Elephas maximus indicus: one gene and its partners. The protein of the gene in region 1 interacts with the protein of each later gene in a pairwise test. Links are inferred from orthologs where the notes say so. Each region holds a gene or a part of one and is shown in the gene's direction. Other genes may lie near its edges.

Region 1 (7,557 bases):
TCAGGAGAGAGAACTAAACCTAAAAACTGTTCCACCATGTTAACTATATGCAAATAGTTTTATAAGTATGCTGATTATTAAAATCAAACCCACTAAAACATTATCAACATTCACTACAAACTTTTCCTTGTAATAACTGTACTTTCTGAATATTCTACAACATATTTATGAATGCAGATTCCTTTTTCTCTAATCTGTCTAAACACAATCATTTCAACATACAATTTTATTTAAAGAAAGTGACCCTCCATTTATCTCATGTGTCACCTCAGTAATTTTTCCAAATCCGTCAAGCCTCTCTTGTTTTCTTAACACCATTTAACCTTTATCTGCTGATTTAAGACTATGATAGGAATTATTTATTTTATGATTATATACTTATTCATGCCTAGTTGACATCTAGTCCTACACGGTCGCTATGAGTCGGAAACGACTCGACGGCACTAGGTAGGTTAGCTGACGTCTACATGACTGCCTATAAGTAATTCCATTCTTCCATCTTTTCCTCATTTAATAATCGGTGCTGAAGAAAACCTACACTGACTGAGGGCCTGCGAGTTTTTCTGTTCCTGTCTTACACGTTACTTTAGTTGAACAAAATTCATTTTTCTTCTGGCTCCTGGCTATATGAAACTGTTACATTTCGGAATTAAAAGAGCCCTAGATGATCTAGTACAATTTCCAAATTTACAAAAGAGGAAACAGATACACTGAAGGAAAAGTGGCATGACCAAGCTGAAATTATTTTCAAAGTAGATAATACTAAGATAAGATTTGACATTAAAAAAAAAAACCTTAATGTAGTAATTCAACTAGACAAAAAATGAAATCACATCAAAACAGTATTTAATTTCTTGAATCTTTGGTTTTAAAAATCTATTACCAATATTTTAACAAGTTTCCCTAAACAAATTTTGATTTTTAAAAATCGTTTCTAAACTTACTTTAAAATAATCATATCTGTAAGTATCTCAGTTGTAAACTAATTCAAATTAAATTCTAAACTTGGCATTTATATTATGTTCTTTATATTAATAGGATTTTCATAACAATGACAGATGGAATTCAAGGAAACTAGCGCCCTTTATCATGCATGTCCTGGAATGAGGCTCATGAAGTACTCAGTAGCCTGTTACAGACAAATAACAAATGCTTCAACTTCTAACCGATGACCACAAGGCACCTTAACATCAGAGTTAAAGAAAATTAAAGTTCAAGTATCTTTATAAACTGCCAGAAAAGTTAATATACTGATAAGCAAATATATATACTCAACTGGAAAAATCTGAGTTTTTTTTTATTGATGAAATTATTGCTATGAGTAAGATAAATGAGAAAAAAAAAAGGATACCAAAAAATCAAAAGCAGGTATAAAATAAACAAGATTTAAATATTAAAAATCATAATAACCTCAACATCTATCAAACTACCACAATGTGCTAAGAATATGAATCAAAACCACCATAAGACAACACATGGTTCATTCCTAATGTATTTTTTCCTGAATTTTCTAAGGGCTTACCCATTTTTGAAATAGCCTCTGCCTGCCAGCACAAGCCTCTCCAAGCTATCTCTCAAAGTGATACACTGAGTTAAAAAGTTACACTAAAAGCAATAGACCTCCAAGATACTTTGTTACTCTTCTAAACTCAACCTCCACTTATTACCACTCCTATTCCACCAGGAAAGGCTTCTCAGTCTTTCCTAACTCCTGTGCTGTGGCACAGAATATGGGACTCCTCCAAACCTATGTAGGCTTAACTACTGTGTTGGAATCAGCATCTGCCTGTTCCCCATGCCCACATGGTCCCTGAGGTGAAAATTTAATATCTCCTTATTTTCAAGTTAATTGATTCAATGCTTTCGCTCTATTCCCAATCAGAAGTGGCGTTTTGCATACTTAAAGCAGTAAAGGAAGTTAGATTCCAAAAAAATGCTGCACTTGTCCAATACATAAACAAAACAACCAAACCTGTTGCCACTGAGCCAACTCATAGGGACCCTACGGGACACAGCAGAACTGCCCCCCACATGGTTTCCAAAGAGTGCCTGGTGGATTCCAACTGCTGACCTTTTGGTTAGCAGCCATAGCTTTTAACCACTAAGCCACCAGGGTTTACCGTGCAAGACATACTCTGTATTAAATAAGAGCTGCAATAATTAATGGAAATTGTAGGTAAGTACCAGGATCCAAATGCTCACATCATGTCCACCCCTGCCAGTGTTCTTCTGGAAGGGAGGGAGAAATCTACAATTATTCGAGTAAAGATTTCACTTACCAGAAGCTTTAAAAAATTCCACTTCTGTTATTGAAATGTTAATTTCAAACCACTTCAAGTTATTCACTGAATCAGCATATCCTGGCAATATATTCTGGCCTACTTTAGAAGTTAAAATATCAAAATCTTTAATGTTTTCCTATAACTTTGGATGAGGCCCTAATCCAAGTCAGCCCTCCATATTCAGGGGTTCTGTATCTGTGGATTCCACACTCTGGAGCTCAACCAACTGCGAACTGAAAATATTCGAGGAAAAAAAAGTTCTGAAAAGCAAAACCTGGATTTGCGTTGTTAACTGTAAGCATCAACAACTATTCACACGGCACTTACACTATATTAGGTACTACACATACCCTTTTTTTTTTTTTATTTAAAGCATAAAAGAGGATGTATTTAGATTATATGCAAATACACACCATTTTATACAAGGAACTTGAGCATCTGAGGATTCTGGTCTTGGAACCAACCCCCCTGAGGATACTGAGGGACAACTGTAATGGGTTTTCCCTTCCGTTGTAGTTCAAATGCTTAAGTCCTGTTAAATTTCACTGAAAATTAGAATGTATAATGGCATAATTCCAATTTAAGTTCACTAAGTCAAACTCCAAAACATGAAGATCATAAAATTTTAATATACTAGAGGAAACAGCAAGAAGCCAAGGTGAAAGATTTGTAGGGATTCCATCAATACTCTGCCAAATTTGGGGCAAGGTAGATACGTATTAAACTGTATTTTATTCTTGTAATCTTCACACTACCAAGGAAAAAACATTCTGAAACTCAACTCTAATTTTTTTCAGAAGCAATAAAGGACTGGTCTCACTTTCGGGTTAGCTTCAGCGGAATCTTAAGGGCTACAAGTCACCCAGAGCCTGGCAACGGTAACTGTTCTTCCTTGACCCAAGAAGGCAGAGTGCCAGAGGGAAACAGCAAAGAGTAGAACTGTATAAACAGAGCAAATGGCACAAAAGCAGACACAAGTTATATAACCAAAATATATTTTAAAATACGTTCATAACTAGTAACAACCTTTGCCTTTGGTTGGTTTCTTGTTTGGAGTATCAGTTGAAACAGTTAATTCAATATTATCTGGATCGCCTCCTTCCTCTTCAATAGCCTACATTAGAAAGAGAAATTAATATGCTACACAATCTATCTAAACTTATTTTACAAAAACGCAATGAAAAAAAAATCAGCAAACCTCAAGCCTCAAGATGTTAGAATTGCCAGTCATTTCATAAACTGACTTCAAAAAAGAGCAATTAAACCACACGAAAAAGGTAAGAGAAGCTTGCGGGGCGGGGGGGCATTATTAGGTATCAAAATCACATGGAGTTTAAGGTTCTACCAATTTGAGAAAATTATATATCACATATTATCATACTCAACAAAAAAACCTAATATGCTCAATCGCAGAAAAGCTGCCAGCTGCTAAAGTAACTAAAAGGAGTTTTCCCAATATCTGCAACGCAAACTTATCCCTCCTCTACCACAATTCCAACGCTCTCTCAAATAAGCCAGAATGATTGTAATCAAGGATGAAAAAGGAGATTACTGCGAGGATGCAAAAACTGAAAACCCGATGGAAAACAAAACCTCTCCCCCCGCCCCATCAACTCCCACTACCGCCCCCCCCCCATGGGGAGGAAACGGTTGGGCACCATTAAACGGTAACTTCGCAGAAGTCACCAAAGTAACCATTCCCCCCGAGGCCCAGGGAAGCACGCGCTCACCATGGCTGAGGCTGGGGACCCAGCGCCGCCCGGCTCCGCACAACGCCCTTGGGAGGCCGCTCCGCCCGCCCGCCCGCAGCCCTGGCAGCCGGCACGGACGTCCCGGGGGAGCGGGGGCGCGCTCGGCGGCCGGGCGGGGAGGGGCGCCCGGCAGGCCTGCGCGCGCGGCCGGCGCCCGGGCCCGCTCCGCCCCGCGGACCGCGGCGGCCCAGAGACGCCAGGCGCGGCCTACGCTCCGCTTCCGGACCTGCTGGGCCTCACCTGCTTGAGTCGGGACACGAGCACCGTCTTGACGCCGGTGATGTCTAAATTCCGCCGCTTCAGCTCCGACTTGAGGTCGATGACCCGCAGGTCGGTGATCTTCTTCCCTTCCGCCTGATCCGAGGCGGCCGCGGCCGCCACAGCACCGGTAGCGGCAGCCATTTTAGGAGAGCGGCGCGCTGCCGAAGCAGCGAGTGGGCTGCAGGGCGGCGGCGGCAGCGCCAACTTGGGCTCGGGCCGCGGAGGCCGCTACGCACGGCGCTACGCACGGCGCTGCGCACAATGTGCCGCGGACCCCGCCCCCGCCGCCCAGCGCGACTTCCGCCGCCGTCGGCACCCGGATGACGGGCGCGCGTGCGCACTGAGGGGGCAGCGCCCGCGCGCTCCGCCGAACCCCCCTCGGCCACCTGGGCAGGGCGACCCCTGAAGTGGGCTGGGACGTCAGGCAGGTCCAACCGCAGCAACGTCCGCCGCGCCGCGGATCTCCCGCGGCCTCGTTAGCCATTTTCTAGCAACGTCTAGAGTCTTGAGCAATGAGAATGTGCTAGGCACGACGTGGCATAGAGTTCGCGAGTTACTAAACACAACCCTAAAAGACCTGCGCACGCCCCGAGCCTCACCCAGGGAGATACTTTGTATCTCTGCTGAGTGATCGAAAATGTGGTCAGTGTGGACAGGCCACTAATGCACTGGGTTCCTTCCTTTTCAAAACGCCTGAAAGAAACCCTAGAGCTGGTAGTCCAAGAATGTAAAGGGTCGGCCCATGTGACATGTCCCAGTGGCTCTCTCTCGGGAAAACATCATGCCTTCAGCCTTAGTTTATTCCAGGGCTCCCCCCACCCCCAGCCCCACCCCCACCTCAGCTTTGGCTTGGTTTGCCATCCTCGGGGAGGATCTAATGGCTCAACACGAAATAGTTCACTGAATGAGGAAATTAGTTTGATACTGGTTGCCATCTCGTATGCAGTGTTCACTGTTCTGCCCCTAAAATATGGGATTCCAAGAAGAGTGACTACTTATGGAGGACCGGCCTGTACAAGTGAGTACCTATTCATAATTTTAGCCAATACTACTAATCATCAAAGCATAAACATTTATGGAATAAAAGCTATCCTGTAAATTCCATAAATCAAGCATGACATGACACGCAGTTAAATGTGCTAGCATTTCCTGGCTTTAAAATTTAGATTGACGAAGCCTGGTTCACTTTAGCTTGCTCTTCTCTCTTTGATTAGATCAAGGAGGAAGATTGGAAATTGTAAACTAATACTTGACATTTGGGTAGTTCTTTATGGTTTATAATACACTTTGATATTCAATAAGCCTCTTAATCTGTCCTAACTCTGTGAGGTAAATCTCTGCGAGGCTTAACGTGATTAAATGACTTGTCCACGTTCACACAGATCAAATCCAGGTCTCCTGATTGTAAATCCAACTCTTGTCTACCACATTGGTTTCCACTCAGAATTTTAGAATTCAAAGACTTTTTAGTAATCTGAGCCAGTTCTCTCATTTTTTTAAATAGATGAACGTTCTAAGAGGTTTACCTAGATGCTCACAGGTAGGAAATCCTGGTGGTGTAGTGGTTAAGTGGTACAGCAGGTAACCAAAAGGTCAGTTCGAATCAGCCAGGTGCTCCTTGGAAATTCTACTGGGCAGATCTCCCGTGTCCTGTAGGGTTGCGATGAGTCGGAATCAACTCGATGGCAGTGAGTTTGGGTTTTGGGTTTTGGTCTCACAGGTAATTATTGAGCAAATTAACACTAAAGCTCAGATCTCCTTGTTTCAGTGTCTTTTCCACTCAACTCTCCTCCTCCCACTTTCTGTGGATGCTTGCTTGGAAAGAGGGCTTTTACTAACCAAAAGCTCACAGGATATTTAAAGGGAATTAGTTTTTCTTCTGTTGGCCTTTTTTTTTTTTTTTACTTAAAATCTAGTAATAGAGTTATCTAAAATGGAGGTACATGCTGCCTGCTGTGATGCACTTGAGAAGGACACATCACCTATGTCGTATTCATGTGTAACCTGAATCTGATCATGAAAAAAACATGCAGGCAAATTCAATTGTAGGACATTCTACAAATTAACTGGTCTAGACTCTTCAAAATAGCAACATCATGGAAAAAAAAGTTGTGGAACTGTTCCAGAATAAAGATGACTGAAGAGACATGACAACCAAATATCATACTTGATTACTGTTTAGATTCTGGATCAGAGAACATAAAAATGTAAGAACATTTTTGAATCAATGGGAACTTTGACTATACATTAGATTGTGTTGTTATATCAGTGTTAAAGATCCAGAGTATGATATCTTGGTTATGTAGAATGTCCTAGGTCTTAGGGGTGAAGTATCATTCTGTCTGCAATTTACTTTCAAATGGTTGAGAGAAAGAAAGCAAATGTGGCAATATTTTACCATTTGTGAAAGTAAATATAACAAGATATTAATCAAAAACAAATGTGGCAAAATGTTAACAATTAGGGAATCTTGCCAGTTGCCTGCCTTGGAAGTCAGTTCTGACTCATGGCAGCTCCATGTGTATCAGAGTAGAACTGGACTCCATTGGGTTTTCAGTGGCTGCTTTTTTGGAAGTAGATCATCAAGCCTTATTTCCAAGGTGCCTCTGAGTGGACTTGAACCTCCAACCTTTCGGTTAACAGCTGAGTGCATGAAGGGTATAAGGTTGTTCGTTGCATACTATTTAAACTTTTTTACAGGTTTAAAATTATTCCAAAAATACCTCATACATAGATCTATTTTTTTGTAATTTGAGAAAATAGTAAAATGGAGGTTATATATATTCACTTTTAACATATTGAATTTTTAATTTTGTTATTTAACCTAGGATTATCATGTTTTTTAACTTATTTACCTGAACTATTCACTTTTTAGTAAGTATTCCTTTAGTACATTTTTTTTCTGTTTTCATCCTTTAGTAAAATATATTTAGGTGAAGGGACACAGTAATTTTTCTCAATAGTCAACTTATTCTTTGGATGTTTCTTTTCTCCTAAAGCTGAAATTTGATATTCCATTTTTTGCAAGTGTGCTAGGCAATGTTATAGATAAGATCACAGGCTTGAGCTCCTCTGGCTACACTTATCTTTACCTGTATACGTTTGTGCATTGAGAATACTGCTCAAAAAATAATAACAACATATATTTTATGTATAAAGCCTCTTGCCATTTACTGAACACTTTTGCACTCATTATGTCACTTTGCTTTGAGAAAAGCTCATCATTTAACAGATATTTATTGAATTATTACTATCCGCCAGTC
Region 2 (7,933 bases), on another chromosome or scaffold:
CCTGTTCCAACAAATATGCTGTGTGCTGTTGAACTGCCTTCATTTCTCTGGTGAGGTCAACCATGAAGAGACTAAGAACCAACTACTCTGTGGAGACACAAGCTCAAGCAAGGACTTGTCAACTTTGCCTTTTCATGCTCCAACAAGCATATCCTCACTGGACTGCTCCTGACTGTGCAGCCTAGTGAATCATAGGAATTCAAGCATTCATAAACTACATTACATCATCAGTACTGCAGCATTTACCTAGTGGTCCCTTTGTAGGTCCTTTAATGTTACCAGACTATTTGGTTTCCCATATTTCCTCCTCTTTGGTGCCACGGAGTCTAGCTGCTAATGTATTCCTCTGTGTCTCATGCTCTGCCTTTACCCAGGAGGGAAGACCGCAGACACGTACACAACCTGTATATGTCCTAATTTTTTTCTTCTAGGGAGGCAGAGGTGAGGGCAGTGTGGCAGATGGGGGATGTCTTAGTTCTAGTGCAGCTATAACAGAAATACCACAAGTGGACAGCTTTAACAAAGAAAATTTTATTCTCTCACAGTTTAGGAGGCTAGAAGTCCACATTCAGGGTGCCAGCTTCAGGGGAAGTCTTTCTTTTCTGTCAGCTCTGAGGGAAGGTCCTTGTTATCAATCTTTCCCTCATCTAGGAACTTCTCAGCACAGGGACCAGATCCAAAGGACATGTTCTGCTCCTGGCTCTGCTTTCCTGGTGGTAGGAGGTCCCTGTCTTTCTGCTCCTGTCTCTCTTTCATATCTCAAAAGAGGCTGACTCAAGATAGAACCTAATCTTGTAGATTAAGTCCTGATTCATTAACAAAACTGCCTCTAATCCTCCCTCATTAACATCGTAATGGTAGGATTTACAACACACAGGAAAATCATATCAATTGACAAAATGGTAGACAATCACACAATACTGGGAATCATGGCCTAGGCAAATTGACAGACATTTTTGGGGGGCAAGATTCAATCTATAACAGGGGAAAATCACCTCCTTGTCACCTGATGGTCATTTCAAATTGCTGTGGAAATAAAAAATAAACACCATTATCAAATGTAACAAAAATAAAAATTCTTTAATATCATCTAATATCTATTCTGTGTTTATATTTTGCCAGTTCCCAAAAATGTCTTTTTACAGTTGGTTTGTTAGAATCGGGATTCAAACAAAATTGACATATTGTGTTTGCTTAATATGTCTTTTAAATATCTTTTACCATAAATGATGCTATTTAGGAGATTGAGAGCGTGGGAAACTTCAACTTCTCTACTGCCGAACTGTTTTCCAAAGTAATTGTACCAATTTCACTCTGAGTTTATAAAAGCTTCACTCCCTCTCCTACTTTTGGTATCATCAGGCATTTAAACTTTTGCCTATCAGACATTTAAACTTTTGTAAGCCCCACTCTGTAAGGAAATGGAATGTGAACATAGTCTTCAAGAAATATATAATATAAAATAATACAGAAATTTCACACTGTAGTGCAGTGAGTTACTATTATATGCCCTTTTTAGCTGTTGTTCTTGTAACTCCCACAAAATGATTAGGTGAGATTATGCAAATAAGGTGCTTGTGGCCCACCAAGGGGATTGGACAGTTTTGAAACCTTTGTGGGGGTGGGACCATGCATATAGGGTGCATGGAACCCTTGTAGGAAATAGCTGGTTTTGCCATCCCACTAGGTTTAAAGGGAGCCAATCCCAGAGGCTGAGAGGGGGACCTCACTACCATCAAGAAAAGGAGCCAGGAGCAGAGTGCATTCTTCTGACCTAGGGTCCCTACACTGAGAACCTCCTAGGGCCAGGAGACAGAGAGAGTTCTAACACTGAAGACTGCACGAGAGAGACCAGTACCACAGGACTGGCAGGCTAGGCTTGCTGATGCACAGAGAAAAGAGAGGTAAGTGCCTTTAGGCAGGTGGTTGCCGGGGGAGTGGGTGCCTGTGGGCACTTGTTGGCAGAGCTAAAGACCTTTGTTATACTTGCCCGTCCAAGTATAACAGGACAAGAAGGCCAAGAACTGAAGGGTGAGAGAGAAGCCTGCCTGTGAGCATGGCTGAGAAGAAGCTGTCCTGATTAATTGTCTTGTTAAGTCGTTCCTTTTACTACCAAGTTGATCCTGGCCCTGAATTGTAAACTGTTATTCCCTGATAAATTCTATAATTGTGAATACGGTTTGTGAGTTCTATGTGGCCACTGCAATGAATTATCAAACCCAGTAGCAAAGTAGAGAGTGGCGTGGGAGGGATGGGATGGCTAGTGTCAGAACTGGTAAAAAGGTTGGAGAGTGGGAGTATGTGGGAATCAGCCTTGGGCTGATGTTGACAGTGATTTTCTGTCTCCCCCTGAAGTTAGTGAGGTCTGACGCTGTACCATTTCTGGACATGTTCCCTGGAGATAATTATATATCCCCATCCCATCTGAAAGTCACTGTTTTAGCTGCTCTATGCACTGGGATCTTTTTATTATACATTAGTGAAAGAGTAAAGACGATATGTAATTATGTGCTAGTTAGTATTTCCTAGGAGTCCCTGGGTGGCATTTACGGTTAAGCACTCGACTACTAAACAAAAGGTTGGTGGTTCAAAACCATCCAGAGGTGCCTCAGAAGAAAGGCCTACCCATCTACTTCCACAAGATTACAGCCATTGACAACCCTGTGGTTCTACTCTGACCCACACTGAGCTGCCACGAGTCAGAACTGATTCAACAGCAACCACTTTAAGAGGGATATAACTGGCACTGACTTTTCCCCTCATATGAATATCCTTCTAACACATCTGAAACTCAAGGTGCCAGATGTTGTTTCTGCTGAGAAGTGTCAGGATTCCTATAACCTCTTTTCTTCCTTGTTAATACTTGTTAGCTCTTATGATGTCATAATGCTTTGTTTGTAGGGTCATCTGATGTTATATATCTTTAGGAAGGAAGAGTTTTTAAACAAAGTGAACCGCATATAGTAAAACCTGATTTCTGGAGCAATTTTATGAAATAATAGGGAAGAAGATCTCTAAAAGGAAATATACTTGGAAACTTTTCCTATCAGCTTTCTTCTTTCATTGGGATATGTGTGATTTAACAACCTGACATGTGATGTGCTTCTGGATGTTTCCTGGTTGCCAGGAGCATCCAAACATTTCTAAGGACACATCATTTTGTACAATAAAGGGAAAACCAGCTCACTTCTGGCAATAAATGGAATTGGGTGCGGAAGTGTGTTTAATATTATACCATACAATAATTGGTGTATTTTTAAAAAATTTTTTATTGTGCTTTAAGTGAAAGTTTACAAATCAAGTCAGTCTCTCTCACAAAAACTTATATACACCTTGCTACATACTCCCATTGCTCTCCCCTTACTGAGACAGCCCGCTCCCTCACTCCACTTTCTCTTCATGACCATTTCGCCAGCTTCTAACCCCCTCTACCCTCTCATCTCCCCTCCAGGCAGGAGATGCCAACATAGTCTCAAGTGTCCACCTGATCCGAGAAGCTCACTCTTCACCAGCATTCCTCTCCAACCCGTTGTCCAGTTTAATCCCTGTCTGAAGAGTTGGCTTTGGGAACGGTTCCTGTCCTGGGCCAACAGAAGGTCTGGGGGCCATGGCCACTGGGGTCCTTCTAGTCTCAGTCAGACCATTAAGTCTGGTCTTTTGACAAGAATTTGATGTCTGCATCCTACTGCTCTCCTGCTCCCTCAGGGGTTCTCTGTTGTGTTCCCTGTCAGGGCAGTCATCGGTGGTAGGTGGGCACCATCTAGTTAATAATTGGTGTATTTTAAAGATCTTTTTCCTTTATGAACACATTTCACATTAGGGAAGTTCCCAGGAAACATAATGATCCATCTTAAGAGTGGGAAGGATGACATTCTACACTGCTTTTATATTTAAATCTTAACTTACTGAAATTTCTAAAAAGAAAGCCAAGTCAATTAAATGACAGGTTTTAAGCTTTCATTCTGGTAAAGTCAAAGTCTTCTACTCAATATATCAGCCAGCTCAGTTTTTTAGAGCAAGAACACGAGGTGCAAGGGCTTCCATTTTCCTCTTTAAAAAACCGTGATATTTTCAGTTCTGGAACAGCTCTCCAAAACGCTGCTTCTGGTAAATGTTGGCAGAATTGGTGCATTGCTTAAGTTAATTCTGTATGCTCAACCTTCCTTACCCAGTATCTCTAGGTTGGATGACCATAAAGCTGCCTACCCACAAAATAGACTGGAGAGAAGGCTGGACTTTATAGAATGTATTAAGTACTTATTATAACGAGATACCGGCACATTAAAAAAAAAAAATCATGCCTAGGGCTAAATCTCTGAGCAAACTTAGATTTCCGTAACAACCTTAACTATTTATTATACACATGAACTGAGGTTATGGGGTAAGGAAGTGGATATCACACACACTAGAAAAACTTCAAAAAAGTCTCTCTTTTTTTAGACAAGTTTCAGTTTTGCAAATCCAAAAAACTCTTAACTGTAAAACACCAAAACGTTGTCTGCTCTCAGTTCTCATCCCATTGTAGAAAGAAACCTGTGTCTCTCAAATTAGGAATACAAGAAGTCTTTCTGGTCGGCGAAGACCAGAAAGCAGCCCCGTGGTAAATTCTATCTGGCCCAAGGGTATTCGAAAGGAAAACCTCGAAACCGTACACCTGCGGCTGGAAAAATAAACCAAACAAAAAGTAACCCAAAGATAAGCACATCACCAGGATTTCGTAATATAAACCGACTACGTTGGCACGGTCGGTACCGGAACCACGCTTCCGGAGCTTCTCAAGCACTCAAGGCAAGGCGTGGGCTCGCCGCGGACGCACTAAAACGAGTTGTAATCACCGGTACCTACAGCGCTATTCACCGCACCCCGCCCCTCCCCCAGCGCGCCAGCCAATCCCCTTGCGCTCTCTCCTTCCCATCGGAGGCCCCTCCCCCGCGCCCTGGATGCTGAGCCCCCGCGGCGTGACGCGAGCACGGCAGCTCCGCCCCCTGCGTCTCTGGCCTCGCCGGCCTAGGGGGGATGGTTCCATCATGGCGTCAATGCAGGTGAGAGGAGTTTGCTGCAGCTGGGAGGGCGAGGGAACCGCCGCGAGGGTGCGATCATTCGGGCGGGAGCGCCGCCCGGGGCTCGGAGGTATTCGGGCGGCGTCGGGAGCAGTCCTAGCGGTCGGTCTTTGGCTAGTTTCAGGGCGTTGGGGAGGGGTGAGAGGCGGCCAGGGCAAGGACGGGTGGGGGGGTCTCGGTCGGTCGAAGCGGACACCAGCCGGCCGGGAAGTTGGGGGATAAAGAGGGGTTAGAGGAGGAAAGGTCGAAGTTTGGCCTTGGCTCCGCCACAGTGCTTTCGGAATCGCCTTCCCGCACACACAAACGGCCAGAGTCGGTCGCCGGCCAGCCCCAGGGATGCCTTTCTCTCCGCGGTCCCCGGCCGGCGGAAACAGCTGCTCTCGCCGTTGTCGCCGGGGCAGCAGCGGCGCTGAAGGGGCTGGGTGTGGAGAAACTGGAAAGACATTCCCTGAGAAGGCGGCTGGCTGCAGAAGGCGCTTCGCAGCCTCTGCTCAGGCCTCCCACGCCTGGCTTCTCTTGACTGCTCGGCACCTCCGCTGTCCTCCCTTTGACTCCTAATGCCCCTTGGGTACCTTCTCCTAGGAGTCACGGCACTCTCACAGACATTACCCGAGCCGCCCACTTTCTCACCCCAGCTCGAAGCTGCCCTTAGTCTATTAACAGCATTTGCCGCCTAATTTGCAATCTGCGGGAACCACTAGCCCCTTATGCCTCCCGGGATAGTTCACCCTCTAAGAAAATTTTTCCTCTGGTGCCCCACCCTTGCGGTCTCGGTAAGGCTGTCGCCCTTTACCCTTATTCTCCAGACCATTAGTAGAACCTTAGTTTATTAGGAGGAGTGCGTAACCTGTGTCCTAGCTACCTGACTTGTCAGTGCGTGGTTTTCTGGCTTTCCAACGCAGTTTAGAGAGGAGTTTGGTTTTTCAGGCAAAGATGGCAACCACAGTTGTGGTTTGTAGAGATTGACTCTGCATTATCTAATCTGTAGCTTGCGTTTAATTCACAGATGAAGACTAGCGTATCAAAACGTAGCAAGAGAAGGTAGAACTTATTAGGAATGTCAACTGAACGCTTTTTAGAGTTTTAAAAAAGCATCCCCTTAAGTGAAGAAAGAGACCGCATTTTTTCTTAGAAGGATTTTTTGTTTTTGTATCTAGAAGAAAAAGCAAGTACCCCCTCATTTTTCCCCCCTCTTCTGTGCGAGTGCAGTGTTTTTCTTACATCTCTTCTGCATCTTCTCTCTCTTGTGCACATCAGTTCTTTGTTCCACACTTTTGTGCTTTTGTCTTACCCCTTTCAATCTGTTTTTCATATGATAGTCTTGTTACCTTTGCTTTTCCCTATGGACTCTTGCAGAACAGAAAAAAATTGTATATAACATTTCTGGTTGAAAAGATGTGACGAAACAGTGGAGGGAGAAAACAAGAACAATTTCAGGAAACATTGTACTTTACACCAGTCTCCCTGAGAGACGTTAGAGAAGTTTCCTCATTTGAGGCCAAAAAAGGAACTGTTAAATTTAACAGTAGATGGGCTACGTGACCAATTTAAGGTTATTAGTGTATTAAGATTAAAACATTTGTTTTAAAACTAAAAATTAAAATCCACAACACTTGCATGATTGTATTTGACAAGTGAGCATAGCGTTACAGGGATGGTAACTGACAGTTAGCTTTTCAGTTATCTGGAAAAGGGATGTTTCAGTTGTTAAGAGAAAAAACCCAAGCTGGTAAAGAACTTAATAATCTTGAATTTTACATGGCTTCTTAAGCAGTAAGAAGCCCTGTTGGTGCAGTGGTTAAGCATTTGGCTACTAACTGAAAGGTCAGTGGTTCAAATCTACCAGCCTCTCCACAGGAGAAAGATGTGGCTGTCTGCTTCCAGAAAGATTACAGCCTTGGAAACCCTATGGGACAGTTCTACCCTATCCTATAGGGTCACTATGAGTCAGAATTGACTCAGAGCAATGGGTTTGATTTGGGGTTTTTTGTTTTGTTTTTGTTTTTTTTGTACTTTAACAATGGACAAAAATACTTGCCAGTGCAATATTGCATTTTTCTATGTCACAAGTACTACCTCAGTCTGTCTTACCACTTTTCTTTTCCTTTGTGTCTTGGTGATTAGAGGAATGGAAAATTCATACATCCTTTTTTAAGTAAAATACAACTAAATCTTTCCCTTTTGTTTGTATTTTTAAAATATACGGATTTTCTGGTAGAATCTTAAAAAATACTTTAATGTGGATAGGTCACACTTTTTGAGACAATACTGTCTGCGTGTGGGGTGAACAAAGTTTTTTTTCCCTGATAGTCTTAATAGCAAAGTTTAACTCTTTCTAAAACAACTGAACTATACATAAAGCAATAACCAAATTATTAAATTTGTTCATTCATGGAACAATTGTTTTTTGAGGACCCAGTATGTATCACCAGCAGTCATCTAGATGCTGAGGATCCAGCAGTGAACAAAAGCAGACAAGGTCTCTGCCCTTGTAGATATAAGTCTAGTTGGGGGAGACAGACATTAAGAAAATATTTAAGTTAATCGTGTATTAAATTAGAAGGTAAAAAGTGCTGTGGAGAAAAATATAGAGTGGATGGAGGTTTGGAAGTAGATATTTTAGATAGGGTAATGAGGAAAAAGTATGCTGCTCTGACCATGTCCTCATCTAAAAAAGCTTTAAGTAGGTTATTTAACCCACACTAGGATGTTACTGCTGCTTAAGAAGTTATTCAAGCTGTAAGGGGAACTGTATTTTAAAAACAAGTATATTATATGAATGTAACGTGTGATTTGATTACTTGAATTGATAAAGACGAAAAAATGAGTCTTCAGGAGCAATGCACTAAAAATTAGGGATAGACTTCGCATTT
Region 3 (7,958 bases), on another chromosome or scaffold:
TTTGTCCTATCAAGGTGCTCATGTTTTATTTCATCAGAAACAGCCTGAAAAAAAAGAAAGGAGTAAAATGAAGGGATATTGAGAAAAGTTACTGAGTAGGAAAGATAAATCTAAAATCAACAAACCAAATTAATATTTATTCTACATCTATTATGTGTGAAGTATGTTGCTGGTCATGGTGGGTGTCTTAGGCTGAGATCTCTAGAGAAACAAAACCAGTAAAAAAAAATGTGCATCAAGGAAATGGCTCATACCATTGTAGAGCCTGGAATGTCCCAAATCCATGGATCAGGATAAAGGCTTCTCCTGATTCACATAGCTGCAGGGGCTGGCTACCCAAGATTAGCAGGTCTGAGAGCAGGGCTCTTGCTCACAGTCTGTGAAGATCAACAAATCCCAAGATCGGTAGGCAAGACCACAAGCCTTCTCTTAATGCACGTAGCTGCAGGGGCTGTTGAACCCAAGATCAGCAGGTCAGAGAGCAGAACTCTTGATCACAGGCTGTGAAGATCGACAAATTCGAAGACTGGCAGGTAAGCTGCTAGCTGAAGTCCCGAGAACTGGAAGTCAGACAAACAGGAGGCAGCTGCAGGATCCAGAGAAGGCAAAAGCCAGAACATCCACTTATATTCAAATGCAGGCTACATGCCCAAGGAAACTCCCTTTCAACTGATTGGCTACTCACAGCAGATCCCATCATGGGGAAGATCACATATAAACATGGAGAATCACGGCCCAGGCAAGGTGACACACAATCAACCATCACAGTGGGTAATTTAAAAAGATCTGGTTCCTTACCCTAACCTACACAGTTGCTCAATTTAGAAACTTCTTAGGCAACTCAAACTATTTCTCTCTTTATGTTTTTCTGTAGACGCACACACGCTTGCACGCGCACACACACACACACACGAGACCGACTGAAAGGCTCAGGAGATAGCATCTCCCAATCTAGGGAGACCTAAGGATTCTGGGGCCTGCCTTGCCCAGAGCCCAGTCCACCCCGTAAGAACAGGTCCCTTTTGGTCACAACATTTAGTGGGAAAGGGAAGAGGAGGTGGTGATATCTTTTGCAACTGGATTTAGTATCTTTTCTCTTACCACTGGCTCTCTTTCAGGGTGAAAGGTTGGCAGGATCCTCATTCCAATAACAGAAAAACAGGAGACTGAGATGGAAAAACCTTCCTGTGGTAGCTGGTGTCTGCTTTGTGGTGCTATTTTGAGGGGCCTTATGGGAAAAAAATTTATTATATGGCTTATGGAATAATTTGCATTAGGTTACATCTGTATGCCCCAGGGGGGCCTATAAAACTTGATCCCTAATTTCAAGGATAAAACCAAACCGAAACCTATTGCCATCAAGTTGATTCCAGCTCATAGTGACCCTATAAGACAGAGTAGAACTTCCTCATAGGGTTTCCAAGGCTGTGATCTCTACAAAAGCGCATTGCCACATCTTTCTCCCTTGAACTGGCTGGTGAATTTGAACTGCTCACCTTTTGGTTAGCAGCTGTCATGGATTGAATTATGTTCCCCAAAAAGTGTGCCAACTTGGCTAGGCCACAATTTCCAGTATTGTGTGATTGTCCACCATTTTGTCATCTGGTGTGATTTTTCTACATGCTGTAAATCCTACCTCTATGATGTTAAGGAGGCAGGATTAGAGGAAGTTAACGAGGCTGGACTCAATCTACAAGATTAGGTTGTGTCTTAAGTCAATCTCTTTTGAGATATAAAAGAGAGAAGTGAGCAGAGAGACAGGGGGACCTAATACCACCAAGAAAGAAGCACCAGAAGCATAGTGTGTCCTTTGGATCCAGGGTCCCTGTGCTGAGAAGCTCCTTGACCAAGGAAAGATTGATGACAAAGACCTTCCCCCAGAACCAACAGAGAGAAAGCCTTTACCTGGGAGCTAGTGCCCTGAATTCCAACTTCTAGCCTACTAGAATGTGAGAGAATAAATTTCTGTTTGTTAAAGCCATCCACTTGTGGTATTTCTGTTATAGCACCACAAGATAACTAAGATGGCAGCCAAGTGCTTAACCACTGTGCCATGGATTTCAAGGATAGACATGGCAAAAACAAGATAGAAAGAACTTCACATTAGAAACAACTCATAATTTACAAGTTACTTCTGGTCAATGTGGTAATGTCTTGTTACCCTGGAGGAGAGCTGTGTCAACCACTTGAAGGACTCCATTAGTCAGGTGAAAGAAGGCATTTGGGAACCTAATATTGTGGGAGAAGGTTGCTCCTATTCCTGCCCTTACGGAGCCATTCATTCTCTTTATCAGGACTGTAACAATATATTAACTACTATACAGAGGGTTGCTATGAGTCAGAATTGGCTCCATAGCAGCGGGTTTGGTTTGTTTTTTGGTATTTATTGAACAGATACTACGTGCCAGGACTTTGCCAGGAGCATTATCTATATTATCACCTACTGATCCTTCCAGGCTCTGGTTATTATTACTTCTTTTGATTCATATCACAAGCTGAATTAATAATTCCATTAAACCAAAACCAAACCCATTGCCATCGAGTAGATTCCAACTCATAGGGACTCTATAGGACAGTGCAGAACTGTTCTATAGGGTTTCTAGGAAACCCTGGTGGCATAGTGGCTAAGAGCTATGGCTGCTAACAAAAAGCTCAGCAGTTCAAATTCACCAGGTGCTCCTTGGAAACTGTATGGGGCAGTTCTACTCTGTCCTATAGGGTCACCATCAGTTGGAGTCTACTCGACAGCAACTTTGTTTTTTTAATAATAGGGTTTCCAAGGAGTGGCTGGTGGATTCTAACTGCTGACCTTTTGGTTAGCAGCTAAGCTCTTAACCACAGCGCAACCAGGGATCCAGTAATTCCACTGATAATTATTAATTGATAATTAATAATTCTCCACTCTCACCCTGTTCACTTTTTTAATAAAACACCAGTCTGTAGACTACATTTCTGGCTGCCTCACTACACAGTGAGCCCATTAAAAGGACCCATGTTTCACTTGATTTCTCCAGCATTTAGTAGTTTAGCCCTGGTGGTGCAGTTTTTAAGAGCTACAGCTGCTAGCCAGTTCAAATCCACCAGCCCCTTCTTGGAAACAGTATGGGGCAATTCTACTTTGTCCTATAGGGTCACTATGAGTTGGGATTGACTTGATGGCAACAGGTTTGGTTTGGTTTTTTGGAAGTGTTCTGTTGAGTGAATGTTGAGTGTAATGTCTGCCACGACTTCAAACTCATTGACGAATCATGGAATTTTTGAGCAACAGAGGACTTGGAACCTTTGACACAATCTCCTTTTACGCATAAGAAACATTAAGTTGGAACAAGTAACTTGCCTGAGGTTACACAAACTAATAGGTAGGATGAGAATTAGACTCTAGTTCTCTCGCTTTCCAACCAATGCAGTTTCTTCTGCAGAAAATACTCTACCAAAATACAACGAAATACCCTTATTCCCTTATCTCTTTGCCATACCCAAAGCCGAAGAACATTTGGGCCTTCAGGTTATTTCCCTGGTATTTCCTAAAACATCCCACTTTTGACATACAGTTTTCCTTTAACAGTCCCCAGTATCAAATAGCACAAAGCTCAAACTCCAAATTAGCCAGCTTTTGCTGTAGAGTCACAATGTGTCACAAAGTTGAGGAAACCTTCTGTCTATATTTGTACCAAAAACTCTTCCTACAAGCATCCTTTGGTCCAGCTAAATCAAAATGCTTGTCCATAACACATGCCACGGTCTTGCCTCACAGTTTCTTGAGACATGCTGTTCATTCTGACTGAAATATCCTTCCTCCTTATCAACCTGGTGAGCTTTAACAATTTGTACCTGACCTTAATCGCATGATACTTGAATGAGTAAATTTTGTGTGTCCAGCACCTAGCAACATAGCCCTCAATGAAGTACCCTGTGTCTTTAGAAAATGAGAGAAACGTAACTTACTGGTCAGAGTGGTGAACAACCTTTTACCAAAACTTAAGTAAAATGAGGAAAAACTTAACGAAAAATAAGTAAATGTGTTCTTTCACTCAGTCTTCTTCCTTTCTTTCCCTTAACTCTCGTTTGTCTGTTGTGGCTGCTATTCTCACTCCCTCTGTGAACTCCATATTCTCCCAGCAAACCAGCTCCTGGACACTTGAGAGGAATCCACAAATTCCTTTGAGGCTCCATCACTGGAACAAGTTCTCAGTAGCTAGAGAAGGTCTGGGCTGCTAACAGGAAGTTTTTGTACTTCTGGCTACTTTGTGCCTGGGGCAAAAACTGCAAAGTCCACCTGGAGACTCTACAGGATAGAATGGTAGAACAAAACTAACATCCACTATCTCCATTGAATGCTTATCTAGATATCACTCTTTCCAGAACTGGCGTCTGGCTTAGTACTTCAGAACAGTCTCCAGACCCCCGTGAGCTTCCTTCTTCCACCTTTAAAAATTTTCAGCAGGACATTTAAAAATTGTTTTGGATTTAAGTTTTCAAGCCTCCCCTTTGGAAGCGACAGCTGCAGGCTGACGGCCAAGGAAAAGCAGAAGCTGGTCCTCTGGTCTCGAAATCCCTTTCACTCCTCTCAATGTCCAGGACCCCATCTAGCCCCTTCGTCTTGCTCACATGAGGAGGAACAGGTAGGTTTCCTCCAACTGCGTCGCTGGCCTCCTTAACACCACCTCTCAGTCCTCCAGAGCCTGGGGCAGCTGGGGACTCCCAGCCACGCGCTCAGGGCCCTTGCCTAGGCGTTGGGACCCTGGGGCCCATACCCGACCCTGCGCAGGCTAAGGGGATGTTGCCAGCAGTAGGGGTGACCTCGGCTCGCCCGCCCTGAAAAGCCCTCCAGCCTCGGCCCGCGGGGCGGGTAGCCTAATGGGCAGCCTCCGCCCGGAGGCGGGCACAGGCCGGAAGCCACCCCGCGGCACAGCAGCCCCGCGAGACGGCGCCCGCGCCCCCGTCCTCTCCAGCGCCGGCTCCGCGGCCTCGGCCTGCAGGGGCCAGCCTGTAGGGGCCCCGCCGCGCTCTTTGTCCTGGACGCGCGCGGGCGGACGCGTGCGCCCCCCGGGTGAAGGTAGGCGCGGAGAGAGCGCGCGGGAGCGCGCGGGAGTAGCTCGCGCCCGCCGGCTGCCGGCGGCGCGCGCCCCTCCGCCAGGCAAGCGGCGAGCACGCGCGCCGGCCCGCGTCCGCCCCTCCCCCGCGCTCGCCTAGGAACTTGCTGACTGCGCGGCCGGGAGGAGCCGAGCCGGGCGGCGGCGGCGGGAGGCCACAGTGCGCGGGGGTCTCCCGCGTCCCCTCCGCCTCGCTGGGAGCTCGCGCCCTCGCCCAGCCGAGCTCCCACCCCCCGTTTTTTCCCGAAGGCGCTGGGCGGCGCCACCCTCCGGCCGGAGCCCGGCACTACACAGCCCCCTCCGACTTTCAATGTTCCACACTCCCCGGCCAGAGCCTCCTCGGCTTCTTTTTTTCCCTCCCCCCCCTTCCCCCCCCAACTGCCTCCATTTCCTTAAGGAAGGGTTTTTTTCTCTCTCCCTCCCCCACACCGTAGCGGCGTGCGAGCGGGCCGGGCGGGCGGCCGAGGTAAGGCAGCCGGGCCGGGGGGCCGCGTGGGGGGCGGCCGGGGCGGCGGCGGCGGCGGTGGGGGAGGGGGCGGGGGCGGGCAGCTTTGTTCGCGCCGGGCGCCCGCGCCGCCGGTGTCCGCGAGCCGCGGCGGGGCCGGCCGGGCTGCTCGCATCACTTGGCGCCCGGCGCGGCGAGCGCTGCCCACGGCCCCCGCGCGGCCCTCCCCACAAAGGGCCGCGGAGCTGCGTGGCGGCCGCCGCCGCCGGCCGCGGTTCGCCTCCACGGGCGCGGAAATTTGTTGCACTTCTTGGGGCTTTGTTTGTTTGTTTTTCCTGGGATTTTTTTTTCTCGTTATTTTGGACAAAATGTCGGTCCGTGATGTAAAAATTGAGCGAGGAACCTTGGTGGCATTGGGAGCTTTGCAGAAGGTGCAGTTTGGATTCTGCTTTTCCCAGGGTGGCAGCTCTCTCTTGGCCGGATGAATCTTCGCTGCTGGCCGTGGAAACGGCTAGAGCAGCTTGTTAGTTGATTTTTAAATTTCTAAATGTTGTGTTTAAAGCCTTACGTGCAGCGAGGAGGAATCGCCACGTTAAATAAGCATATGGGTGATTAACGGGGTATGTTTTCCTCTCGGAAAGGCAATTTGGTAGCTTTGACCAATGTCAGTGTGTAAATATTTAGACGTTATTAGTGACTTTTTAACATTTTTCAGCGAGATCTGTTATTTACAGTGTGTCATATGTTATTAATGCTCGTTGCCTAAGTTCCCTGGCAAATCTGTTTCATGCCTTCTGAGAAAGTAGACAATTGATAGATTGTCCAAGGAATGGAAAAAAAAAATGTGAGTGGGTTTTCTAACTTGAGTCCGGTAAATCCTTGAACGGTGGCGTTGTGAGACACATCGCCTCCCCTTGTAACCTTGTGTGAACACTTTTGAAGCCTTTTTATTAAAATTCGATTTTAATTGATTTATAGAAAATAAAATGCTATTGGTTTATTTCTTAGACTTAACCTTTCCTACCCCCCTATTTTTCTCTTTAAAAGTTTTCCAAGAAATAACTTCACCAAGATGTCCAGTGATAGGCAGAGGTCCGATGATGAGAGCCCTAGCACCAGCAGTGGTAGTTCAGATGCAGACCAGCGAGACCCAGCCGCTCCAGAGCCTGAAGAACAAGAAGAAAGAAAACCTTCTGCCACCCAGCAGAAGAAAAACACCAAACTCTCTAGCAAAACCACTGCTAAGTTATCCACTAGTGCTAAAAGGTAATGTGTTAAAAAGGGTTAAGCACATTGTCAGGTTGTCTTCCAAATGGTCGGACACTTTGTTGGTTTTAGATCAGTAGGAATAGTTCAAAAAATGCTTCACGATTGGTCTTATTTGTATTTGAATGAGTTGTCATTCTGTAGATGATATGTAAACCACTTCCATAGAATTATAGTTTTAAGCAAACTTATTCTGTACTTCAGTAACTTCAGCAAGAATGTACTTGAATAAAGATTGGACTACTATTCTGACATATTAAGGAGTTGGTGAAGGGAAATTTGTGAGCCCAAATTAGAGGTACAATGGGGATGTTTACTTTTTGAGTCATACTCTTTTCTTTATTGAAGTTGACACTTCTGAAGGTCACCAGTGCCTTTCCATGAAACTTTAGTGATCCAAAATAATCACATTTGCTGGAAAATCTATAAATTCAAGGTCTTGGCTATATGTGAAAGCAGATTTAAAATCGTGCTACAAACTGTTCTCAGTTTCACAAACAAGTCTTTAAGTTATGCATCCCAGGTATACTTTAAAATGATGGTTATTCCTCTGTGCCTGTGAGGGCACATAAAACTGCAAGGCAGCCGTTTACAGTTTTAAGTGTCACTTGGCTATTGAAAACTTTCATCGTCCTTGTGCAACTTTTTACACTAAAACTTGTGGAGACACTTGACACATTAATACTCAACAACAAAAGAAACATTTTGTTGGATATAAGTGAAAAATTGCTTGTTTCATGTTGATTTATATGTATTGGAGAGAAAAGATCCTATCGGTGGGGCTCCATCCGTGGGGGTAGTTGTGGAATATCCATGAACTCTAGGAATTATGTGGACAGAGATACATCAGATATATCTATTGAATTAGTATTGACATTCTGTTGGTTTTTATTGATCGCAACTAAAGGGCAAAGAAAATACAAAAACTGATCAAATATTGTGTTTTGTAGTGATTCTAAAATATTCATTTTTCTACAGATTTTCATATCTATTGTATAATAATCAAGCATTAATAACTTGAGAATGTTTTATTAAATAGCAGCAGTCTTTGAAATAATTTATAATTCAGTCTTTTTGAAGAACGTACTAAATTTTAAGTTTTCAAAGCATTTTTCATTTGAATAAAATCAGAGAACTGCTTTTTTTCCTAACTC
Region 4 (7,924 bases), on another chromosome or scaffold:
AAAACTAATTTTTCTCCTACTCTTTCATTCCTCCAAATTTCAGTAAGCTAAAAAGGTGTTAAGTTCAGGAAAAGGTTTCAGAGACTAATGAACCGAACTGTTCAAACTGCAATACAATATATTCCAATATAATCTGTCCTTGTGTTATCAATGTACAGAAGGTTGAAAGAGGTTAGCTTGTTTAGAGAATAGGCCTCACAGAGGCAACCCTAAATTATAAATTGAGACAATTGCTTTAATATTAACCATTATCCATTTGTGGACATCAAACAAACCTTTTTGCCCTTGCTTGATTTTTTCTCTGAAAAAAAGCATTTGATTCTTAATCAAGTGATGGTAAATTTTGAAAATCACATGGTGTTCAATGCCTCCATGTGGTAGAAAAAATAATTTAGTTCTGTCCTAGCTTCCTGTAATAGTCATATTCAGGCCCAATAAAGTCAGACAATGTTTAGGGTCCTTCAAAGGTATATCAGTGTTTCTTTTTTTTTTTTTTTAATAAGTCCATGGAAAAATGACCTGTATTAAAGATAAAAGCCCCAGATCTAAGGCCTCATGGAACAGGCCCTTCTTTGCAGAACTTTCTTATTTTTCTGTATAAGGAATGAATATTTTCAGCCAAAGGAGTATAATAAAATGAAACAGATGTCCTGAAATCTGCAGTGAATCCATCCTTCCAGAAATTCTTTATAGAAATTCTTAATTTCAAATCAATTTTTTTTTTTTTGCAGAAAAAGGAAATCCTTTCTACCAGCTATAAAGTAAGATTAAATATATATATATATTAGCAAATGCTAATTTACTTGACAACTGTTTGGATATGAAATTGGCCAAACAGAATGGTCATCTTTATGAAATACTGTTTGTCATAAGCAACTGGCCAAAAATAAGAGTGCTGGAAAGTTAAACTGGGTCTCTTTTAAATCAACTGTAGCCGTGTCCTCCCAAGGGTGGGAATTCTTGTTCTTTCACCTTCTAGGGATCAGCCTATGACTGTAAGCACCTTGATCTTCAAGTACTTTACTTAAAAGCACTTGATACTCTAAAGATGACTTGAAGAAGAGAGCTGGATCATTCTGAGAACCAGGAATAGGTACTAGCAAACACTGGAGCCCCCTTTCTCAAAGCCCGTGGATGTTGCAGTGCTGCCCCACTTGGGCTTCTGTGATTGGACGCATCTTTTAAATGTCAGTTGAGCATTTCTGTTGATGAATTCAGTGTATGTACACGCGTTTGCTTGCACATGCGTAGATTATACGAGCAAGGATACGCAGAAAACTGCCCTGAAGAGGGAAATAAGAGGGATTGGAAGGAAGAGCTGAGGGCTCTTCCCTGACATATCCTTTGGTATCTTTTGAATCATAAAGCATGAGAATGGATTGCCTGTTCAAAATATGTTCATAAATGTAAAACAAATAACCAAGGAGGCTTACTCTCCGGATGGCAAGCAAGGAACTTCAATGGCAGTCATCCATTGGTTCAAGTGAATGTTAAAAATTCAGGTGATTCCCTCCCATTTTTTCCCCTTTCCCAACTATGTCTTGATAATATATTCTTGGAAATATTACCAAAGTTCTTTCATGTATAATATTTGCCTCCAGTGTAATGGATTTTCCAGGACTGACAAAATCATCTGTGGGCAGCAGGGGCCATAGCCACAGTTCTGCCACCGACTCACTGCATGACCTTGGCTTTCTTTGCCTTATTTTCTTCATTTGTAACATGAGGAGTTTGAACTAGAAGATTTCTCAGGTCCTGTCTAGTACTGGAGCCCTGGTGGTGCAGTGGTGAGGGACTCGGCTGCTAACCCAAAGACTGGCAGTTCAAATCCACTAGCCACTCCTTGGAAACCCTATGGGGCAGTTCTATTCTGTCCTATAGGGTTGCTATGAGTTGGAATAGATTTGACAGCACCGGGTTTGGTTTTTGATTTTATTGTAGTGGTAAAATCCTATGATTCCTTGACTATCTTTCACTTCAGAGGGTTTCTTAAGTTCTCACCATACACTCTTTAGGTGCCCTAACAGCATTCTGGAGAAGTAGGACCTAGGTGGGATTATTAATAATTTACTTTGTGTAACAGTTAATAAGCCACCTTCATTACAGACACACACTGATCCTTACAATAGCTTTGCCGGGCCACATAGTGCAGGTATCCCAGCCCTTTAGAGATGAGGAAACTGAGGCTCAGAGAGGTGACTTCAGGTCTTAGGCCTTGTAGTTAATATGTAGAAGAGCTAGAGGGTTGCAAACAAATTTTTTTTTTTTCTCTATGAGACAACAGTGTATTTAAAATAACATGACCTAAAGATTAGACTTTCAAGAACAGTGAATTCTTTTCTAAGCATTTTGAGGTTTTTATACCCGACTCAGTAGGTCATTCCAAAACCATAAAGCACTAACCGGGGGTTAGTGTGTGTTAGAGATAAGAGGGAATGGTACACAAGGGAGGGCTGGTATCCTTCCAGACCTGTGCTTGGGAAAGCACTCCCTATGTAGGAGGAGCCCTTAGATTACATGGTTTATTTCCCCGGGGACCAATCCAACCCAGGCATCAACAATGAAACAGAAAATACCATGCTCAGTTAAAAAAAAAAATTATCATAGTATCTGTTATAGATTGAATTGTGTCCCCCAAAAGTATGTTTTGTAAATCCTGACCTCTATGCCTGTGGTTATAATCCCATTTGGGAACGGGTCGTCTTTGTTATGTTAATGAGAGAGGATTAGTATAGGGTGTGTCTTAAATCAATCTCTTTTAATGTATAAAAGAGATTAAAAGAACAAGGGAAAGAAGCAAGGATGGGGGAAGAGAAATGCCAAGCCACAAGAAGATGGCCCAGGAGCAGGAGCTCAAAGAGACAGCTGAAAAAGAAAGAAAGCCTTCCCCTAGAGCCGGCTCCCTGAATTCGGCCTTCTAGCCCCCTAAACTGTGAGAAAATAAATTTCTGTTTGTTAAAGCCACACATTTGTGGTATTTCTGTTATAGCAGCACTCATAGATAACTAAGACAGTATTCAGGTATACGATTTATAGAAATCAAACTTAAAGAAAAAATATACCACCATCCCAGTCACTTCAGCAAATCAAATTTTTTATTTTCCTGTGATCCTACCAGGTCTTGTCTTTATATATACATATACATATAATTGGCTTTTTTTAATATATATAATTACATATACAATTTTTTTTACTAGTTGTAATCATAGTGCAGGATTGGATTTTAAAGCATCAGAAATCCAAATTTTCGTAAGATTATTTTCTTCACCCCCAACTAAGTTTATTTCATCTGTTTGCTTATTGTTTTCTGTTGAACTTTTTCGTCAGATGTACACAAAGTCTACAACCTGTTTTCTAGGAGATTTTTTGTTTTTAAGGACCATACAGCAGGGAATGTCATTATTTTTGTATGGTCTACCAGGACTCCTGAAACCAAACACTAAGAAAAGTTGTCCGGGGATCTTTTCAAAATCGATATGCATTTTGGTGGTTAAGGGATAGCTCTGACTGGGCAGGAGGCTGAAGTGATGACTACGAGGTTTCCTCCACCTTTTGGACTCCTTGATTCTATGGCAATACCTGGTAGATACAGGTTTCCTAGTAGGGACTGAACAAGAATCATACGCTATTATTGCTTTATGAGTCTTGATGAAGTTGGAGTTTCAGGATGAAGAGTAGAAGGGGTTAAGCTGGGCGGTGAGAATCCTTGTTTTCCTGGTTACTGGATATGTCATGGGCTTTATATCTTGTGTATATGGTGACTGAAACCACTGTTGCCACGGGAAATGATGGTAATTTGAATGAGATAATTTAGAGTGACCCATGGAACTCTGACTAGGCTGTCTCCTTAATGTAAAGATCCTGTGAGTGTGTCACTTGTATTTGGATGGTATATATCTCTTCATTTCCCTTCAACTGAAATGACAAATAGGTGAGAAACTGAAGAGTAATTTGGTGGCTTAATAATAGAAAGTCAATCTTATTTAAAATGCTAAACGAGGAACAATTTAGAAGAATTACTGATTATTCTAAAAATATTATTATTTGAATAGCATTTATGTTGTAGCTGAAGTAGGTACAGGGGTCCCCAGAACTTCCTAGCGAATTTCCAAAAATCAAACTTTATATCCAATGCTGACGCCCAAAAACGCTAAATCTAGTCTAATTCAGTATATGATTTATTCCCAGTGATTTCTCACATTCATAAACCTGTAACCCTCTGCTCTTACCTGTCATGAAATCATTTGTATCACTTTCAAAAACCCACATCACTTTCTATAAAATGTGACGTGAAGAATCTAAAATTTAGAATTGTACATGCCTCATGCCCTGGAGCAGAAAAGTCCCAGTTTGGGATTTTCTCAGAGGCGTGTCTAACTAAACTGACCTCTGCTCCTACCAGGTAAATTGCCAGAGAGAGAAGCAAGTGTCAGCCCAAAGGGAAATCCCTTTTGTGGGATTTCTTTTTTCCCCTTAAACTGATCACTTTTTAGGAGTTTCCATTGCACTCTCTAGTCCCAAGTCTTAGGCATGAGATTACCGTCTTATTCACCAATTTGCCAAACGCCTTTTCCAAAAGCCCTCTGTGGAAAGAACTTCTTCTCTAGTGACCCCCCGCACCTCTATTCCAGCTAGTACCAGCCGCTCCCAGCGCCCCCCGTCTCGGACCAGCTCCCCGTCTCCTACCCAGGATCCAGATCCCAAACCCCGTAAGAGAAAATTCACACCCCTCGCCCCTTCCCGGGCGTCCGAAGGAGGCGCCCGGTGGGGGTGCAGGTGTGGATGGGGAGGGGGACAGGGTTTCCCGGGGTCCCCCGTGTCCTCCCCGTCCCCCCGCTCCCGGAGGTGCAGGGGGAGGGAGCGCGGGTGGGTGGGACCGGGCGGGTGGGGGAGGGGTGAGGAGGAGGAGGAGTGTGTGTGCGAGCGTGTGTGGCTGGGGGAAGCCATTGCCTGTTTAATAGTTGCTGTTGCTGCACTTCCGCTTCTCTCCCAGCGAGAGAGAGACACGAGTGGCCAGGCCCAGCCGCAGCCGCAGCAGCAGCCGCCGCGGCGGCACGGAGGAGCCAGACACAAAGAGAGGTACGGGGATCCCCCCGTCGCCCGCCGCCCCCCGGCCGCGCCGCCGGGCCTCGGGGACACCCCTTGCCGCCTCCCCCAAGCCGCGCCGCCCGGGCCGCCGGGCACGGGGCTGAGGAGGGGCGAGGGGCCGGGGAGCCCCAGGGGTCCGGGGCCCGCCCGCGGGGGATGGGCAGGGACCCCGGGCCGCGTGGGGTGCGGGGGCCGCCGCGTCGGGGGCGAGGGGGGCATTGTGGCTTGAACTGTCAGCGCCGTCCCGGGAGCCCCCCACTGGCCACTGAGGGGGCCGGGAGCGGGGGGTGGGGGAGTTGGGGGAGCCTCGTTTTCCCCCCGGGCGGGGGCCCGCGGGGATTAACCCCTCCGGGGCGGACGAGCTCATTGTTATTCCTTCTCTGCGGAGGCCAACCCCCCCACACACCCGAACCCCCCACCTCCTAGAGGTGGCGATCGGGCGTGGGCTCAGGACCCCCGCCCTGGCCGCGGAGCCCGGAGCCGGGCGGCTGAGGGGCAGGCCGACAGGGAGGGGCGTCGGGCGCGGCGTGGGGGGCCTCGGGCCTCGTCGCCCCTGTCCCCGCCGGCCTCTCCCTTCCCCCACCCGGGCACCCGTTCCCCGCCTCCGTCCCCCGGTTTCGGCTTCCTCTCTTACTCCTCCCGCCCCTCCTCTCTTCCCGACCTCGCCAAACTCCGCTCCCGGCCCCGCAGCCTTGCCGGGGCCACAGGCCCCCGCGACCCCCAGGAAGCGCACAGAACAGTCCGAAGGCCACCCGGCCGCCCGGGTCTTTCCTCCTCGCCTCGTCGAGGCGCCCCGCGCCCCTGCCCTGCCCTCCTCCTCCGCCCCCTCGGCCTCCCCCCTCCGTGCCCAGAGGGGAGCCCCGGGGGGCGAGGGAGGGGCTGCCCTCGTAGCTCCGGACCGTTTCCCCCGGCGTCCTCTACTTGGGGCCCAAAATAAACAAACAAGCCGCGTCCGATTTGCCGAAGCCTTAATGGGCCTAGAGACTTTGAAAGCAATAAGAGGGAGGTGGGCGGCTGGGTGCACCCCTGCCCCGTGCCTTCCTGACAGCACCCGAGTTCCCTATTCACACTGCCTGCCTGGTTTACGTGTGTCTGTTTTGTTTCCCTCCTCCTCCAGGGGCTGTTTGCGGGGTGGGGTGGGGGGTTCGCTATGTCGGATGACGATTCGAGGGCCAGCACCAGCTCCTCCTCATCTTCTTCCTCCAACCAGCAAACCGAGAAAGAAACAAACACCCCCAAGAAGAAGGAGAGTAAAGTCAGCATGAGTAAAAACTCCAAGCTCCTCTCCACCAGCGCCAAGAGGTACCGTACGCTTTTCCACCGGCTTCCTATTTTTCTGAACGCCTCTGCTGCATTCGGTTTAGCTCCCAAAGAGGGTAGCTAAAGTGCCCCTCCTGGTTTGTGTGTCCTTACAAATGAAAAAGGGGCCTGGGAGGCCCTAATTATTCTCTCCGTTGCTTGTTCTGTTTTTCTTTTAATCATTGCCCACATGCAGCCGCTGTGGCTTGCCTCTCGCGTTTCTTGTTGAAGTTTGTAAGAATCCTCATTGCTTTTAATAGTGACCCCCAAACCCCATTTCAGGTTACTGGTTTTATTAATCGCTAATCTGTAACTCTCCTCACGGCTGCCGTCCCACTTCTTAATCACTAATACCTGCCCAGATAACTCCCTATCAAAATGTCTTACTTCCTTCTCACCTGTTGCACGCCTGATCTTTGTTGAATAGTAATTTATCCAAAAATTGCATAAAGAATAAATACATCAGTGGGGTAGAAATTTTAGAAGTTGAAGACAGGATTCCTGATGGAATTTAAAGGGATTTTTCTGGTTTGGAGAGTTGACGCAAATGAATGAAGCAATAAATGATTGTAAGCTGGTGTATTGTAGGTTATTTCTGGGATCCTTAATTTTTTTTCTCTTTAAGAACTTCACGTTACCAATTGTAGGAAAACGCAGTTTTTTCGTGCTGTCTTATGCTGTAAAAATGCTACTATTTTTTTCCAAGTTGAATTAAAGCAGTGGCTCTTTTTCCTTACTTTTTTCCTCTTACATCTCTGGAGAAAGCCACTTTTTACCTCTGTCATCCTTTAGTAATATCCTCGGATTCCTGTGACCCTTAAAATAATCTATAGCAGATTTCTGGGAACCCCCAGACACCTTTTCATAAATCCTTCTGCTCTCTGGTAAACAGTTATTAAACGTTAAAGTGGCATACTAGGAAAACAGTGGCACCCTGGTGGCGCAGTGGTTAAGAGCTCAGCTGCTAACCAAAAGATCGGCAGTTTGAATCCACCAGTCGCTCCTTGGAAACCCTATGGGGCAGCTCTACTCTGTCCTGTAGGGTTGCTATGAGTCAGAATTGACTTGCTGGCAACAGGTTTGGTTTTGGTTTTAGTTTAGGAAGATAGTAAGGAATCTGAATGGTGGGTTAGATAGGGATGTCTTTCTTAAAGGAATTTAAAATAAAATGGAACCTGAGACTTAGGTCTCTCCGTTGAGTAGTAAGCCAGAACTCAAGAGTTCAAGAGTTTGTTTTGTCATTTTCCCTGACTTGAAATTTGAAAAGTTGGTAAAGTGCTGATGAAGGGAATGACTTTTTATTTTAAATAGTGTAGAGATTTAAGTGCTAAGGTGTTTTTTGCAAGGTATTTCCCCTTTTCAGAGGGTTGGTTTGATTGCATCTCAGCTTCCCAGGAGTCCTCATTGATTAACCCAGTGCTAGCTAGTTCTTTAGTTCTTTCAGAACCCTGGTATCTAACCCTGCCCGCTTTGGATGAGGCCTTCCTTAAGCTCCCCAGGGCAGCCTCTGGACTCCCTGATCCTCATTCAGACAGCC

Evidence for each region.
Region 2: the proteins of RNF111 (region 1) and UBE2W interact in a two-hybrid assay, tested with the Homo sapiens proteins (2 studies listed by BioGRID and IntAct). The link is inferred for Elephas maximus indicus from reciprocal best matches to the Homo sapiens genes RNF111 and UBE2W.
Region 3: the proteins of RNF111 (region 1) and UBE2E3 interact in a two-hybrid assay, tested with the Homo sapiens proteins (2 studies listed by BioGRID and IntAct). The link is inferred for Elephas maximus indicus from reciprocal best matches to the Homo sapiens genes RNF111 and UBE2E3.
Region 4: the proteins of RNF111 (region 1) and UBE2E1 interact in a two-hybrid assay, tested with the Homo sapiens proteins (2 studies listed by BioGRID and IntAct). The link is inferred for Elephas maximus indicus from reciprocal best matches to the Homo sapiens genes RNF111 and UBE2E1.

What each region holds. Positions count from the first base shown.
Region 1 is NC_064831.1:49,065,955-49,073,511, forward strand, and holds the start of RNF111 (E3 ubiquitin-protein ligase Arkadia), read left to right. Parts: upstream 1-4,551; 5' UTR 4,552-5,312; intron 5,313-7,557. Other genes in the region: SLTM (SAFB-like transcription modulator), read right to left, coding at 3,309-3,396, 4,274-4,435. UniProt on the Homo sapiens protein: E3 ubiquitin-protein ligase. Required for mesoderm patterning during embryonic development. Acts as an enhancer of the transcriptional responses of the SMAD2/SMAD3 effectors, which are activated downstream of BMP.
Region 2 is NC_064833.1:68,164,121-68,172,053, forward strand, and holds the start of UBE2W (ubiquitin-conjugating enzyme E2 W), read left to right. Parts: upstream 1-4,919; 5' UTR 4,920-4,940; coding exon 4,941-5,042; intron 5,043-7,933. UniProt on the Homo sapiens protein: Accepts ubiquitin from the E1 complex and catalyzes its covalent attachment to other proteins.
Region 3 is NC_064824.1:79,192,522-79,200,479, forward strand, and holds the start of UBE2E3 (ubiquitin-conjugating enzyme E2 E3), read left to right. Parts: upstream 1-4,949; 5' UTR 4,950-5,056; intron 5,057-5,192; exon of another isoform or gene 5,193-5,559; intron 5,560-5,758; exon of another isoform or gene 5,759-5,969; intron 5,970-6,013; exon of another isoform or gene 6,014-6,061; intron 6,062-6,585; 5' UTR 6,586-6,610; coding exon 6,611-6,804; intron 6,805-7,958. UniProt on the Homo sapiens protein: Accepts ubiquitin from the E1 complex and catalyzes its covalent attachment to other proteins. In vitro catalyzes 'Lys-11'- and 'Lys-48'-, as well as 'Lys-63'-linked polyubiquitination.
Region 4 is NC_064845.1:15,869,584-15,877,507, reverse strand, and holds the start of UBE2E1 (ubiquitin-conjugating enzyme E2 E1), read left to right. Parts: upstream 1-4,912; 5' UTR 4,913-5,079; intron 5,080-6,205; 5' UTR 6,206-6,238; coding exon 6,239-6,390; intron 6,391-7,924. UniProt on the Homo sapiens protein: Accepts ubiquitin from the E1 complex and catalyzes its covalent attachment to other proteins. Catalyzes the covalent attachment of ISG15 to other proteins. Mediates the selective degradation of short-lived and abnormal proteins.